Linked DNA regions of Canis lupus familiaris. The protein of the gene in region 4 interacts with the protein of the main gene of each other region in a pairwise test. Links are inferred from orthologs where the notes say so. Each region holds a gene or a part of one and is shown on either strand. Other genes may lie near its edges. The genes, in order: BTRC, AHSP, P4HA3 and ZC3H12A.

The links.
Region 1: the proteins of ZC3H12A (region 4) and BTRC interact in binary tests that used the Homo sapiens proteins (3 or more experiments, as listed by UniProt). The link is inferred for Canis lupus familiaris from reciprocal best matches to the Homo sapiens genes ZC3H12A and BTRC.
Region 2: the proteins of ZC3H12A (region 4) and AHSP interact in binary tests that used the Homo sapiens proteins (3 or more experiments, as listed by UniProt). The two-hybrid records come from large-scale screens. The link is inferred for Canis lupus familiaris from reciprocal best matches to the Homo sapiens genes ZC3H12A and AHSP.
Region 3: the proteins of ZC3H12A (region 4) and P4HA3 interact in binary tests that used the Homo sapiens proteins (3 or more experiments, as listed by UniProt). The two-hybrid records come from large-scale screens. The link is inferred for Canis lupus familiaris from reciprocal best matches to the Homo sapiens genes ZC3H12A and P4HA3.

The regions. Positions count from the first base shown.
Region 1 is NC_049249.1:14,342,595-14,346,412, reverse strand, and holds part of BTRC (F-box/WD repeat-containing protein 1A), read right to left. Parts: intron 2,775-3,818; coding exon 2,664-2,774; intron 1,200-2,663; coding exon 1,121-1,199; intron 1-1,120. UniProt on the Homo sapiens protein: Substrate recognition component of a SCF (SKP1-CUL1-F-box protein) E3 ubiquitin-protein ligase complex which mediates the ubiquitination and subsequent proteasomal degradation of target proteins. Recognizes and binds to phosphorylated target proteins.
Region 2 is NC_049227.1:16,904,121-16,907,302, forward strand, and holds AHSP (alpha-hemoglobin-stabilizing protein), read right to left. Parts: upstream 1,431-3,182; 5' UTR 1,348-1,430; intron 1,181-1,347; 5' UTR 1,177-1,180; coding exon 1,102-1,176; intron 881-1,101; coding exon 677-880; 3' UTR 512-676; downstream 1-511. UniProt on the Homo sapiens protein: Acts as a chaperone to prevent the harmful aggregation of alpha-hemoglobin during normal erythroid cell development. Specifically protects free alpha-hemoglobin from precipitation.
Region 3 is NC_049242.1:24,105,344-24,109,623, reverse strand, and holds the start of P4HA3 (prolyl 4-hydroxylase subunit alpha-3), read right to left. Parts: upstream 3,046-4,280; 5' UTR 3,031-3,045; coding exon 2,831-3,030; intron 2,825-2,830; exon of another isoform or gene 2,691-2,824; intron 1-2,690. UniProt on the Homo sapiens protein: Catalyzes the post-translational formation of 4-hydroxyproline in -Xaa-Pro-Gly- sequences in collagens and other proteins.
Region 4 is NC_049236.1:5,056,344-5,060,696, forward strand, and holds the start of ZC3H12A (endoribonuclease ZC3H12A), read right to left. Parts: upstream 2,846-4,353; 5' UTR 2,760-2,845; intron 2,744-2,759; exon of another isoform or gene 2,622-2,743; intron 2,620-2,621; exon of another isoform or gene 2,483-2,619; intron 1-2,482. UniProt on the Homo sapiens protein: Endoribonuclease involved in various biological functions such as cellular inflammatory response and immune homeostasis, glial differentiation of neuroprogenitor cells, cell death of cardiomyocytes, adipogenesis and angiogenesis.

The DNA.
Region 1 (3,818 bases), on a different chromosome or scaffold from region 4:
TGAATAAAGCCAAATGCAAAAAGCTACATACTGTATGACTTTATAGGACATTCATAAAATGGCAAAAATCAGAATAGTGGCTAGGGGTGTGGGAGAGGGTAGTGCTATGAAGCGGTATAATTTTTGGGGTGTTAGAAATGTTCTAGATCTCGATCAAGGTGTTTACACACTGCAAAATTCAGAAAAACACACTGAAAAAGGGTAAATTTTGCTGTATGTAAATTACACCTCATTTAGACTTAGATTAATTTTAAATGAATGAAAGTATACATTTTAAAAAACATGTCTGAAACATGCAGGTAAAGTAGGTCTGATGCTGCAACAATGAGCTTTAAATCCAATCAGGAAGACAAAGAAACATCTCTCTCTCTCTTCTCCAGAGCAGAGGCTGCCAAATGTTGAGAGTTAGGATTCAGAACACTGGGCTTCAAATGCTAGCTCTCATCTTTACCCTGAGTTGTGCTCCCTGGTGCCCCACCTAATTTTCTTTTTCCAATGGCAGCAGCTTTTAACCTTAGGCCATTTTCTCATCCGGGCCTTTGGTGAACACCATGATAAAGAATTTAGCACTTTCAAAGGTGACTTTCTTCCTTTTGAGTCACTTCTTTCCTCAAATGTCAAGATGTTTATGGCAAGGAATAAAAGAGATGGGATTCATGTTGCTGGAGGCAGCATGCCTTGAATAGGCTGCAGAGCCAGGGGGCTGACCGGGGGTTCACACAGACTCCCATGACACTTTTTGCAGGCACAGGTGTGTAGGTCCTCAGCTTCTGGACAGGTTCCAATTTGAGTAATTATGTTCTCTCTCCCTAAGTACCCCCTACTGTTTCTGGTGGATACAGAATCCTTATTCACTTCCTGTACTAAACTGTGGTGTAGAGTTGCTGTGCAGCTGTTAAACAGCTGCCACATTCCTTTCTATACATAGTCTCTAAAGCACTTTTGGATGAAAGGCGCTAAAAAAACATATTTTATTGTCATGTATTAGTTGCCTTTCCACTTAGTAGTAGGTTTCGTGAGCTTCTAACTATCAAATCCAGATCTGTATTCCATACCACATCAATGTTTCATTTCTTTCCCTTCCTGTTCCCCAACCCCCTCTAAACAGCAAGGTTCTTACCACAAGGGTCCGTAGACAGAGAGTCCCTGCAGGAGCACGGGGGTCCAAAGCAGCTACAAGATCCCACACTTTAATTTTTCTAAAGATCCAAAAGGGGACAAAAATCTTAATTAAAAGCAAAATTAAGGGACCATGGGAAAAATAGCAAAAAGTCATGGCAATAAATAGGTATGATGAATGTAATTTTTTTTTTGATGAATGTAATTTATATGATAAATGCAGCTCACAAGAATATATAAGAACTTTTTTTTGTTTTGGAGACTTGGTTTTTGCATTCATTCTTGGGTAGAGGTTATTGGTCTTAACAGGGGAAAAATGTACAGGTTTAACCTAAAAATGAGAAATAGGTTAGCTCTAACCAAGCTTAAGTGAATGGTAAAGTTATACCATACTTTGGGGCCAGGAAGAGATCTTATATATTAGACTCTTAAAGACTGATAGAAGAGATCACTTAGACCTAGAAACCTACAATTGTGAAGTATCTTCTTTCTGGTCAATTCTAAGAATGGCCCAGGTAACCTGAACCAGAGGACTAGAGCCCATTGAAATACTCTGGAGTTTATACAAATTCCCATATTTTGATTAAAATAAGAAAAGTTTAGCTCTTCCAAGAACCAAACATATGGTCATGTCTCCTCAAGGTAAATAACAGACAAAACCCAAGAAAGGTGGGTACAGATAAAAACCAGGGCAATCAGAAAATACCATGTAACTGGAGTATGTTCTCACACCCTGAACAATCTCCCACAGGGTAGAACAGTGATGGATGACTCAAAGCAGAGAAAATGGTCTGTTCCTACTGTATGAGTTGTCTTAATCACTGCCAGCTCCTAAACTAAGGTAATGTAGTAAGGTAGTTTCTAATATTTAAAAAGCTGCCAAGATGTGAACTATAGCCTTCCACTCCCTCATGTCAGGCATCCTGACAAGAAGAAATAATAAAGAGGCCTTCATAAGTAAATACACTTTTATGTGAGTTTACTATGTGCTTAGCATTGCCGGACATGGGATCCATTCACAACATGAATGGATTTTAAAACCATTGGAAATTAGACCGAAGAAAATAAAGATTACTGAACTTGTCACTAAAATGTTAAGAGAAGTGAAGACAAGAGAGCTGCGCTTTTAGGAATTACTCAAAGACATCAAATTCAAGAGCCTACCACATTATGCCCCAAAGATACTGCCTCCAATATTTCAGTTTTATTAATAAGTCATTATTTTACACACATATCCTGGCATACTGTGTTTTCCTAGTTCTTTGCTTTATAGGTGAATCAAAACAGATGAATGCATAACTAAATAACTAAACTGTTAATGAAAATCACCAGGAAACAAGTGCAATTAAATGACTGGGAAAAATATCTTAGAAAAGTAAACAAAGGAGAGGGGAATACATAGATGAGACACAAGAAATATTGTATCAGATCCTTTCTGTAAAATCTATAATCTTTTAGAGTCAGGGAAATACTGTATTTAACATCCTCCGGTAGGAGGAATCAAGATGTACATTTTGTTTTTTAAACCCTGTTAGCAAACTCACCCATCATAGGCCCCACTGACTATCCTCTTGTTATCAAATCGAATACAACGCACCAGTTCCTCGTGGCCTTCTAACACTCGTAAACATGCACCACATTCTATGTCCCATAATCTGGAAGAGAAAATTGAGTCAAGTGAATTTTCATGTATTCTTTTCTAAGCTTGGCATGTTATAATACACTTCATATGTCTTCAAAAAATTCCACAAAAATAAAATCAATCAATACTCATACCAAATGTATTGCTTTCAATGTAATTTATTTCCTTTCTGCTGTATAACTCAGACAGAAAAATGTATGATTTAAGTTAAAATGAAATATATATTTTCAAAGCACAATGCTTTATATAAGTCTGTAACCAGGGTCTCCAAGGCATAAAAAGGATGAATTCAATGTACCCAGTTGCCTGTGAAGGAAATGACCAAGAAAAGAAAAGTAATGCTTCCTGAAATCACCAGTAAGAATGAGATACATGGGGTAGCCCGGGTGGCTCAGCGGTTTAATGCCTCCTTCAGCCCAGGGCGTGACCCTGGAGACCTGGGGTCGAGTCCCACATCGGGCTCCCCGTGAGGAGCCTGCTTCTCCCTCTGCCTGTGTCTCTGTCTCTCATTCTCTCTATGTCTCTATGAATAAATAAATAAAATCTTAAAAAAAGAATGAGATACATAGTGTCAGTGATATCCTGCCCTCACAAAGTATGTCCACCTCTGTTACTAATGACACTTTCTCTTTTCACCCATTGTTCAGGACAATTTTTCTCTATAATGGAAACAAAAGCAAGTTCTCAAAAATGCTTACATGCTAATTAAAAAAACTGGGGGCACCTGGCTGGTTCAGTCAGAAGAACGTACAACTCTTGATTAATCTCAGGCTTGAGTTTGAGCCCCATGTTGGGTATAGAAATTACTTTAAAAAAATAAAATCTTAAAACTATATGCTTTTGGACCAATCCAAATGAAATGAAAATTTCCTTAGACCTAACAGTAGCTCTGTTGTTTTCTAAAGGAGCCTTTTTATCTTCTTAGTACTTTTTGAAGGAAGGGAAAGGATTGATAAATCTTCCAAATTCTATTCATATCTCTCATTCATCTTTGTGAAGGGAAAACACCAAAAAGTACTTCAATCTGTGGATTCTTCATAATTTCAAAGGCTAGAAA
Region 2 (3,182 bases), on a different chromosome or scaffold from region 4:
TCAGAGCCAAAGGTTTTCCTATCTGAAAAATAAGGGATGTATTGAATGGTTCCCAAGATCCTTTCCAACTCTCACAGCGATACTCCAGGGAGGTATTCTGTGGTATTAGAGTTCTGAGATCCTAGAACTTTGTTCAAGCTGGGGCTAAGGGCAAGGAATTCGAAAATTGAGATGAGTGGCCTCTTGATTTCACCTACTGTAGGATGAACAAGACTGGAAGTCTTTCAACAAGAATTTCACAGGGCCACAATTTCTAGAGAGCTTCTTTTTTCTTTTCCTTTTATTTTTTTTATTTTTATGATTCTAACACCCCAACACTTTCTCTCCGCCTGCCTGGCCTGTCATTCAGGCTATTTTAGTATTGCCCAGTGGTTACTTAAGGCTGCTAACCTCTGCTCTAAAGGAATTAAATATCCAAGATCATATCTAGGAAATAGAGCTAAAGGAAAAGGAACCAACTGCCTCCACAAGTCAGGGACCAACAACTGAAAAAGAACAGAAGAGACAGGAAGACCAGCAAACCAATTTGGTCTTTATTGAGGTGTCAAGGTAGAGTAACACCATGAAGGAGCAGAGCCTGAGCACTCCAAGAACTCGGAGGCAGGATTTAAGAGTTTCTTAGAGATGCAGGCCTGGGGTTTTGAGCTAAGAGAAAGGCAGTGGGTGATTTAGTTGCTCATAAGTGCTTCAGGAAAGCTCTATATTTCTCCAGGAAAGGGGCAGACAGAGTATTTAGCTCTTGCTGAAGTTCCTGGAGAGCCTTCTCCTGCTCTTGCTGCTCCCCCACCATCTTCTGCCTGTAATAGTTGATGTAGAAGTTCACCCAGTCATTCACCATAGTCACCATGGCTTCTTCAGGGATAGGAGGATTAGGGAAGACCTGCAGGGAGAGGGGATCACGAGGGAGAATGTGGTCAGCTGTGTGATTCAAGAATAACCCACAACCTCTGACATTCTCCTTTCTCTGACTTGTATTCCCTGTCTCTAATTGTTGCCATTAACTGCACCATTACGCCCCAGTTCCAAATTATTGTCCCTTCTCTGCCCTCACCCACCTGCCAAGAGTCTAGGCCTATCCTTTGAAACAGTGCCTGGGCTCACCTGCTGATTCAGCAGAACATTAAATTCCTTAATTCCTGTAGAAATGAGATCCTTATTGGCCTGAAGCAAAGCCATCTGCCTACGTTAGAGAAAGAGATCAAATTTAAGTATCCTTTTCTTCATTCCTGCATATTTCCCCCAATTCCCTTATTTCCCTTAAAGATCTCTGGTGCCTTGTAGGACCACCTCTCCAGCATCTTTCAAATCATATTCTGCTGAGATCACATTTCTCCCAGGTTGGCTCACCTGCAGGTCCAACGGTGTATGTCTCACCCACAGTTTCCAGGGTGTGTTATGTCCCTCTCTGAGCTAAATGTAGGCAGAGTCAAGTGTCAGCATAAGAGGGAAACGCCCTACATCTAGGTCCTGAAGGAAGGTGATAGGTCAACCAGGGGTTGGGAACAAGGGAGAGGTTTCTCTGAAGTTAAAAGATAGCAAGGCCATTAAAAACAGATAAGTAGGGAGACCTAGAAAACCAAACCCAGGACAGATCCTTGCCATCTGCCCCACATCCCAGTATCCACACTCCAAAACTAAAATTCAGACAAAAAGAATTAGTATCAACTGACTCCCTGTTGGATGACAGATACTTTTTTTCCATTTCATTTCATTTAAATTCCAATATAGTTAACATACAGTGTTATAGTACGTTCACATGTACAATATAGGGACTCGATAATTCCATACATTACCCAGTGCTTATCACGATGAGTGCCCTCCTTAATTCCCATCCTCTATTTCACCCATCCCCCTACTCACTTCCCCTCTGGTGACCATCCATTTGTTCTCAATAGTTAAGAATCTATTTCTTGGAGGCTCTCTCTCCCTCTCTGTCTCTGTCTCTCTTTCACTTGCTCATTTGTTTTGTTTCCTAAATTCCTCATATGAGTGCAATTATATAGTGTCTATCTTTCTCAGACGGACTTATTTCACTTAGTTCCACTTAATTCTCTAGCTCCATCCATGTCATTGCAAATGGCAAGATTTCATTCTTTTTTTATGGCTGAATGATACTCCATTGTGTATGTATACCACATCTTCTTTATCTATTCATCTATTGATGGATACTTGGTCTGCTTCCATACATACAATTACCACATGACCCAGCAATTCCACTCCTAGGTATAGTTCATAAGAAATGAACATACACATCTACAAAAACACTTACATGCAGGGATGCCTGGGTGGCTCAGCGGCTGAGTGTCTGCCTTTGGCTCAGGGCATGATACCAGAGTTCCAGGATTGAGTCCTGCATTGGGCTCCCTGCATGGAGCCTGCTTCCCCCTTTGCCTAGGTCTCTGCCTCTCTCTGTGTGTCTCCCATGAATAAATAAATACAACATTTTATATATATATAAAACCACTTACATGCAAATGTTCACAGCAGCTTTATTCATAATTCCCCAAAATGGGAACAACTTAAATGTCCAATAACCACTGAATAGATACACAGATTGTGGCATATTCATATAATTAAATTATAATTAAATTCATATGATTAATTCAGCAATAAAAAGGAACAGACTAATGGTATTCATGAGAACATGGATGAATCTCAGAATAATTATGTTGAGCAAAAGAAGTTAGACATACAATAAAGAGGAAGAAACAGGGGCATAAGGAAGACATGAAGCAGGGAGGTGGCCTGGGGGATGGGTGAAATAGATGAAGGAGATTAAGAGTATATTTATCCTGATGAGCACTGAGCAATATACAGAATTGTTTTTTTTAATATACAGAATTGTTGAATCACTATTTTGTACACCTGAAACTAATATTTCATAAAAGATTATATTTATTATTTGAGATAGATAGTGAGAGAGCATAAGTGGGGAGGAGAGGGAGAAGCAGGCCCCCCACTGAACAGGGAGCCCCATGCGGGTCTCGATCCCAGAACCCTGGGACCACGACCTGAGCGGAAGCCAGGTGCACAACCAACTGAGCCACCCAGGCACCCCAACCTGAAACTAATATAACACTACACTGAAATTAAAATTTTTAGAAAAAAAAGAAGCCAGACATAAAAGATTATATACAGTATAATCCTAGATCTATGAAATTCTCGAATAAACAAAAACAATC
Region 3 (4,280 bases), on a different chromosome or scaffold from region 4:
AGTAAGCAGTAAGGACATCATGGCATAATAGAAGAAACAACCAAAAGAACTATGTCCTAGTCCTGGATTTGCTACCTACTAGATTTATAATCTCAGATAAGGTACTAAACTTTAGTTTTCTCATATTTTAGATGAATTCTCATTTTTTTAAGAGTCATACAACCTATTTCAAAGCATTGTGTGTAAGAAGCAAATGAGATTAGGGTCCTGTGACAAAGCTTTGAGGACAATGGTGATGAGACAGTAAAGGAGACCAGCATTGGAGCCCCTCACTCCCTCCACCAGTCACTTTGATCCACACTGCAAACTTTCTGTTCTGAACCTGTTCCGTGAGAGGCCCAGCATCATGATCTTGAACCCTCATCTCTATCTGAGCCACCCAAATAAAGAGATTAGTGGTATGAGAATGAGCACATGGGTAGCAGGGAACATGCTGGAATCTCAAATTAAAGAGAAGAGTTTTTTATTCCCACCAATAAACCTAGACTCCAATGCATGGACTAAGAACAGAATTAGAACATTTTGCTTGACGCCTGGGTGGCTCAGTTGGTTAAGTGCCTGCCTTTGGCTCAGGTGATGATCCTTTGGTCCTGGGATCCAGCCCCACCTCAGGCTTCCTGCTCAGCAGAGTCTGCTTCTCCCTCCCCGTGCTCTTGTGCTCTTACGCATGTTCTCTTTCTCCCTCTTAAATAAATAAACAGAATATTTTTAAAAAATTTAAAAAATAAAACATTTTGCTTTATAGAGTAGGCCCATAAAACACTGGACAACTATGCAACTCTAAAGAGTGACAAGAATTATTGAAATTTTTATCTTTTGATTGAAATTATTGAAATTATTATCTTTTACTGTTATAATACACATATATTTTACTGTTATAATACACATATATTTTGTGTATGTGCATGTGTGTATATTCACACTATTTCAAACTAATAGTAAATTTATTTATTTGTTTATTTATTTATTATTATTTTTTAAGATTTTATTTATTCATGACAGACACAAAGAGGCAGAGACACGGCAGAGGGAGAAAGCAGGCTCCCTGCAAGGAGCCTGATGTGGGACTCCATTGCAGGACCCTGGCATCACGACCTGAGCCAAAGGCAGATGCTCAACCACTGAGCCACCCAGGCGTCCCCTAATAGTAAATTTAAAATGAATATAACTGTTTCTATGCAAGCTACATACTTAAGAGGATATACCAAATTACATCATCATTCAGTCACCACTGATTAACAAACAAGGTCTTTCACACTGTGTGTGTTTGATTCTCTCCAACAGGGGCTCTCTCACACAGTCATGGTGTCCCACACGCCTTCTTCCCATTCTTCGCATTCGCCCCAGAATTAGTATTACTATCACATACGCTCGCCCAGTTTTATCAGCAGTACATTGTGAGACAGCTCTCTGTTTTGTCAGCTCAGCAAAGGGTCAGATGATGTAAGAGTTATATTAATGTATTCAGATAGCAATGTGGTTACACCACTGTTTGTAGGCTTCTTCATGTCTGGAGCAGAGAACACACAACACAATGCATCACATAATACAATCATTCATTTTTCATAGTTTGGCACTGACAGTCAATACAGGATTGCAGTGCCCCAATGTGCCAAGTCTATAGTATTTTATGCCACGGTGTGTAGCACTAGAGTTTGCTGATTGTATAGCAAAGAGAATTAGCTGAGCATCTGCTTGTGTGTGCCACACTTAGAATCCCCCAGTATCAAGTATGGTTTTCCCCTAGTTTTTTCTTGGCGTCAATATACATATATTATTTTTTTAAAGATTTTTATTTATTTATTTATGAGAGACACAAAGAGAGAGAGAGAGAGAGAGGTAGAGACACAGGCAGAGGGGGAAGCAGGCTCCATGCAGGGAGCCTGATGTGGGACTCGATCCGGGGGTCTCCAGGATCGGGCCCTGGGCTGAAGGCGGCGCTAAACCGCTGAGCCACCCGGGCTGCCCAATATACATATATTAAATCGCAGTTTTCTTGTATTTAGAATTGAGAGAGCTCTTATGTGTGGGAAGAGAAGGGAGAGTTGCAAGCAAAGGAGACAATGGACATCTCTGATTAATAATCATGATGCTACAGACTCCAAGCTCCCTGAGGGAAGGATTGGGTCTTGCTCACCATTTTATCCCCACTGCCTGGAAGAGCGGTTGGCTCATAACAGGCACTCAAACAGGCGTGTTGAAAGAGTTAATGAACACGAAGCCTTATTCATAAAGTGAGCAGTACCATCAGCATCCAGGGTGATGCAAAGATGTCCATAGCTTCGTGCCCATCCAGACCCAAAGGCATGTAAATCTCACCCATGGTCACAGAACGTCACCTCATGCTAACCACCGGTTCTCGGTCACACACAGGGCTACAGGCACACAGTATTTTCTCCCTCTACTTTTGCAGTCTGCTGTGTCCCTGTGACACAGAGCCGGAGGCCCACACAGCTTGCCACCGCGCCTTGCGAGGTCCTCCTGGTCCTGAGTCACTCCCGCCACACTTCCACAGCGCATCAGGTAGGCCGTGTGAGGATGGACCTGGGATGCGACTGTGGGTGCACGACGGAGTGGAAGGCTCCACGCTGTGCGACACAGCGTCTCGGGGTCCCCCGCAGGGTGACCCGGGGGCTGACGGTCACACCGGGCCACGGAGTCTCAGCCTCCCGGTCCGGAGAGGCTCTTACCCAGGCTCCAACCGGGTCCGGGGTCCCACGCTGGGTGACTGAGACTGAGCCACTCGCCCCGAGAGCACGCGCCTCGGTCTCGCCCTCTGACTCGGTCTCCCCGCCGCAGGCGCCTCGGCGGCTCCCGCGCGCGTCCTCACCTGGTCAGGTCCCGCAGCCGCGCCTCTTCCCCGCGCAGGTAGCGCCGCAGCAGCGTCAGCAGCCGGCGCTCGGGCCCCAGGGCGCGCGCCACGCTGGTCAGCGCCGAGAAGGTGTCCCCCCGCGCCGCGGCCCCTGCCGGGTCCCCCGCCCGGAGCGCCAGCACCGCCAGCAGCGCCGCCAGCCCCGCCGCGGGGCCCATCGCCGGCTCCCGCGCGCGGCCTCCTCGGACGGTCCGCTCGGCTCCCGGCGCGCGCCGCTCCCGCCCGGCCCGCCCCGCCCCGCCCCTCCGCCCCGCCCCGCCCCTCCGCCCCGCCCCGCCCCTCCACGGCCCGCCCCGCCCCGCCCCGCCCTCGCCCCGCCCCTCCACGGCCCGCCCCGCCCCTCCACGGCCCGCCCCTCCACGGCCCGCCCCGCCCCTCCCACCCCCCTCCCCCCACCCCGCCCGGCCCATGGCCCGCCCCCCCCCCCCCCCCCCCCCCGTTCCCGGGCTCCGACGCCTCGGCCCGCTCTCCCGCACCCGCTCTCCTGCCCCCTCGCCCCCCCGTCCGCAATGTCCGCCCGCCCGCCTGCCACCACGTCGCAGCCCTGGCAGGTGTTTGCCGCGGTGCCGGGTCACACTCGGGGGAAACAGGCGAGGACTGGGGTGGGGGGTGGGGGTGGGAGGATGAATTCACTGGTCTGTGAACAACGCGACGCCATCCCCCAGATAGTCACCCCTCTGGATCGGGTGGAAATGCAACAACACTACTGGATTCTGATCGGGAAATCCAGGAGAGTGAATGATGTGATTGGTGATGACGATGTGGGTGCAGAGCTGTGGAGGAGCAGAGGGAAGGAAACACCTCCCAGAAGACTTGACATCTGAACCATCATGAAAGACGGGCAGAGTCGGACCTCAGGTAAAGAGGGTGAAGGCGATTAGGGTCACTGCCTGACAAATCGAGGACCTGCCAAACCTAAAACTGGGGTCCTGGATCATTGCCCTATACCATGTACCTATGGCCACTTTAAGCAAAAAAGTTACTATTATCCTATTAGGCTACTTATCCTTTTCCCCACCTTCCCAGGCAACTTCCATTCCTTCATTCAACAAGTATTTACCACCTCTGTCACTGTGCTGAAGACACGGAGAAATAGCACACCCAACCTGGACTCACAAGGGAAAACAGATGTAAACCAGGAACCACAATAAAGTGCTATCAGGATAAGAAGAATCAAAAGAAATTGTCTGGAAGATGATAGGCAAGGGAGGGATGGGCTTTCCTGGCAGAAGGTACCTATGTGTACCCAGGTTTGGAGATGAAAAAATAGTTTTGAGTTCCAGAAATGATGGAACTGTGGTTGGAACTGTCAGATTTATTGTCATTGCATGACATACTCAGAAACTTAGCCTATTCTCTATGAAAATCCAATGGAAGTTTAAGGTAGCAATAACAGTAATAACAGCAA
Region 4 (4,353 bases):
CGCCCCGGGATGCCAGGCCCCGCCCCCGACGCTACGAGGCCCCGCCCCGGGTTGCCCGGCCCCGCCCCCCCCGCCCGGCCCCGCCCCCGCAGCCCGAGCGCGCTCGCCGGCGGGGCCCGAGGTCGGGGGCGGGGCAGGGCCGCGGCGGCCGCTACGTGCGCGGGGCGGGAGCGCACCCCCCGGGGCCCAGCCGGGCGCGCGCGGACTCCCCGGGGTGCGCTCGGCGCCGCGCGACCCCTACGCCCCGGCGGCCCCCGCTCGGCCACGGGCGCCTCGAGTGACCCGGGTGCACGGAGGTCGCCCCACCCGCCGCTGGAGGTCGGTCCGCAGCGGCAGACCCGGGCTCCCCCCCCGCCCCCCCGCCCCCGACCGAGCCGGGAACACGCAACAGGTGCACCGGGACCGCAGCGGGGACACGGGGGGGGCGGTGAGGACACTGGCCGGGATGGACCAGCACAGCCAGGAAGTACCCTCGATGGGGGTGAAAAAGCAGCAGAGAGGTGCTTACAGCGGTCACCGTGAGTGTGCACACTGTGCTTTGCACACGCATGCACACACACACACCCCCACGGGGAGGACGCTTTCGGGGCCGGGTCAGGCAGTCCTGGGCTCTGAGCGGAGCACAGCGCTTCCCACTACCCACCTCTTGGGCTTAGGTGAGGAAGACAGACAGACTGCTGTGCCCATTGGACCCCCCAGAAGTTCAGAAAGCGCTTAATTGCCCCATCTGGAAAGGATTGGGACTAGGGCCAGGAGCTCCTCATCCAGGGACCAGCTGCCACCTTTGCCACTTTCGAAACCACCAGTGAGTGACTCTGGGCAGAGGGGAGACTTGTGTGTGACACGATGGGGCCTGACCCCTGCTCTCAAGTGTGTGTTTATTTTTTCTTTTTAAGATTTATTTATTTATTTATTTATTTATTGATAGACATAGAGAGAGAGAGAGGCACAGACACAGGAGGAGGGAGAAGCAGGCTCTCCGCCGGGAGCCTGACGTGGGACTCGATCCCAGGACTCCAGGATCATACCCTGGGCCAAAGGCAGGCGCTAAACCACTGAGCCACTCAGGGATCCGAAGTGTGTGTGTTTAAAAAGGGAACACAGAGATCCCTGGATGGCTCAGTGGCTAAGCATCTGCCTTAGGCCCACGGTGTAGCCCTGGAGTCCCAGGATCAAGTCCCACATCAGGCTCCCTGCGTGGAGCCTGCTTCTCCCTCTGCCTGTGTCTCTGCCTCTCTCTCTCTCTGTCTCTCTGTCTCTTATGAATAAATAAATAAAATCTTTAAAAAAAAAAAAAAGGGAACACAACCCACAAGCTGGAGGACACAGCCTGAGCCGCCCTACCTACACCAGCTCCCTTTGGAGATGGGGAAACAGGTTCAGGGAGCCGGGTCCCTGGGAACAGAGCTGCCTCCCCCACGCCTGGGCCCCATAGGGAATTAGTGGGACAGCCGGAAGCTTCGATGTGAAGACACCATATACGCTGCACGGGGACAGCGGAACGGATGATAGTAACAACAGTAAGATATTCGCATGTCCACTAGCTCATTACAAAATGAGACCCAGGACCTCTGTGGGGCTCAGTAGTTGAGCGTCTGTCTTCAGCTCAGGGGTGATCCCGGGGTCCTGGGATCGGGTCCCGCATGGGCCCCCTGCATGGAGCCTGGTTCTCCCTCTGCCTGTGTCTCTGCCTCTCTCTCTGTGTGTCTCATGAATAAATAAATAAAATCTAATAAATAAATAAATACATACATTTATATAAACAAGACCTATACCAGTACCTTTAAGACCTTCCACTTGCCTCCACTGCAGCCTCCTCCCTCATCCCGAAGGACGACTTTCCTGAATTTTGTTTTAATTATGCTAATCATTTCCTCAATGTGTCTCTTAGTTTTACCAACCTTGGTAGAAATCCCAAGATAACAAGTTGTTTAGTTGGGTTTTGCTTTTTGGGGTGCAAAGGGCATCGTTCTATAGTTATATGACTCCCCTTTTCCACACAGCATTGTTGTTCTTTTTAATTTAAGCTTTTATTTTCAGCTAGTCTCTACACCCGATGTGGAGCTCCAACCCACATCCCCAAGATCAAGAGTCACAGGTTTCACCGACAGAGCCAGCCAGGCAACACCACATTGCTTTTTAAAATACATTTCTGGGGGATCCCTGGGTGGCTCAGCGTTTTAGCACCTGCCTTTGGCTCAGGGCATGATCCCGGGGTCCCGGGATCAAGTCCCACATCAGGCTCCCCGCCGGGAGCCTGCTTCTCCCTCTGCCTGTGTCTCTGCCTCTCTCTGTGTGTCTCTCGTGAATAAATAAATCAGATCTTTAAAAAAAAAAAAAGAAAGAAAATGCCTTTCTATTGCCTGTATACCTATAACTTACTCATTTGGTGATTGAATAACATTCTATTTTAGGAATATACCACTGGTCATTCAGCCATTCTGTTACTGGATGTTATTTCTGGGATTTGTTATTTACTTACCTATGTGGCTATTACCAGGAGTGTGCTTTGGATATCCTCGTACGTAATCTTAACTAGAGTCGCAGAAACAGAGTGAAGTCACTGGCCCAGGGGCCCGGAGCTAGTGGGGCTGGGATTCGCAGAGCTCTGAGGTACCCACCTCCAGTACCTGCCTGTCTCAGGAGGTCACGGAAGACCCAGGGAGGAGGGAACGTGCGTGCATCTCTAGCCAGGCCCTGAAGCTGCTCCTCCGGACTTGCCTGACCCCATGTACCCAAGTCCCTGCTTTGTTACCTACCTTAACTCTAAAGACCCCAAACGGTTCCCTCCTGCGCCCTCCAGGCATAGCAACCCCGGGGGCTGACCCCAAGCCAGGCACAGAGGGCAAACAAAGCCCCCTTTCCGGGGGGGGGGGGGGGGGGGAGTCACAATGGTCTCAGCTCCTGTTGAGCACCCTGTCTGCTGTGCCCCCATCTTCACGGGAACCCTTTTAACATTAAGCTCAGTGACATTAGGTGTTTACTCGGCCTCATAACTACTTTTAAGATAGTAAAAATATTGAGAAACAAGGCCAGGTTGATCACCGTAATGATGATACGTCAACCCCAGCAAGAATGCCTCACATTTGGGGACTGCTCGCTGGGCCGCAGGCCTCGGGCCAGCGCTCTGCATGTGCCTCGTCCTTGGCTGGGAGTGCCCTCCTCTCCTCCCCGCCCCCGACGGCTGCCTGCCCGGTTCCATTCATCTTTTTTGATGATGTCACCTCCTCCGGGAGGCCCGCCGAGACTCTTCCAGTGCTCCTCTGCTCCCACCGCGCCCGGCCCGTGTCCCTACGTTCTGGATTGTGATTGCCCGCAGGGGACCTCCTCCGGGAGGTCCGGCGCTGCGCCAATTGTAGCCGGCACGACCGGGTGATGAGTCACGAAGCTCCGTCCCCTCCCAAAGCTAGCCGCGCGAGCCAGAGTCTCACTCTCTTCCGGCTCAGGAAGGCGGCTCTTTCCTGAGAAGCTGACTCTTCTGCAGAATCCAGAATCCGGGGAACCCCTGCTCCACTTACAGCTGGATTTTGCAAACCTTGGCCCTGATTCCCGGGAGCATTCTGGATGTGATGATGCCCAGCCCACGCCTGCATCTTGGAGGCTGGGCTTGCCAGCTTCCTTCCCGGAACCTGCCTGCTTTCTTGCCACCTGCCTGCATCTGGCCGGCCTGGGTGAGGTCTTCAGGGGTCCCAGACTGGCCCACCCCCTGGGCGAGGGATGGGGGACCCGGAGAGAGAAAGGTGCTAGGAATTACCTTGGCTTTTGATGGTTCCATTGGGCAGCTCATGGGGGGAGGGTGTTACCTGTTTAGGAAGGGTGGGCAGGCTGCCCTCAAGGCCTTGGCACAGAGGTTAAATTCATCCAGGACTTACAGAAGCAGAGAAAAAAATCAGGTCCCTCCCCTGTTTTTTTGATGTTCCTCATATATTTTTTTATTTTTTTTTCTCATATATTTTTTTAAAGTTATTTTTTAATTTAAAAAAATGTACGTAATCTCTACATGGGACTGGAACTCACAACCCAAGGATCAAGAGTCACATGCTTCTCTGACGGAGCCAGTCCGGCACCTCATCTCCTAGTATATTTTAAGAAGACATCACAGTAGAGCTACAAAAGGATTGAGGTATGCTTTAAACAGCAGTGGAAAAAAATAAATAAATAAACAGTAGTGGAACGAAGTAACTTTTTTCATCATGTGCTCAGATGCAGTGGGACTACAGTACACGATATATCAGCAGGATCTTTTTTCTTTTTTAGGATTTTATTTATTTATTCATAATAGACATAGAGAGAGAGAGAGAGGCAGAGACACGGGCAGAGGGAGAAGCAGGCTCCATGCAGGGAGTCTGACGT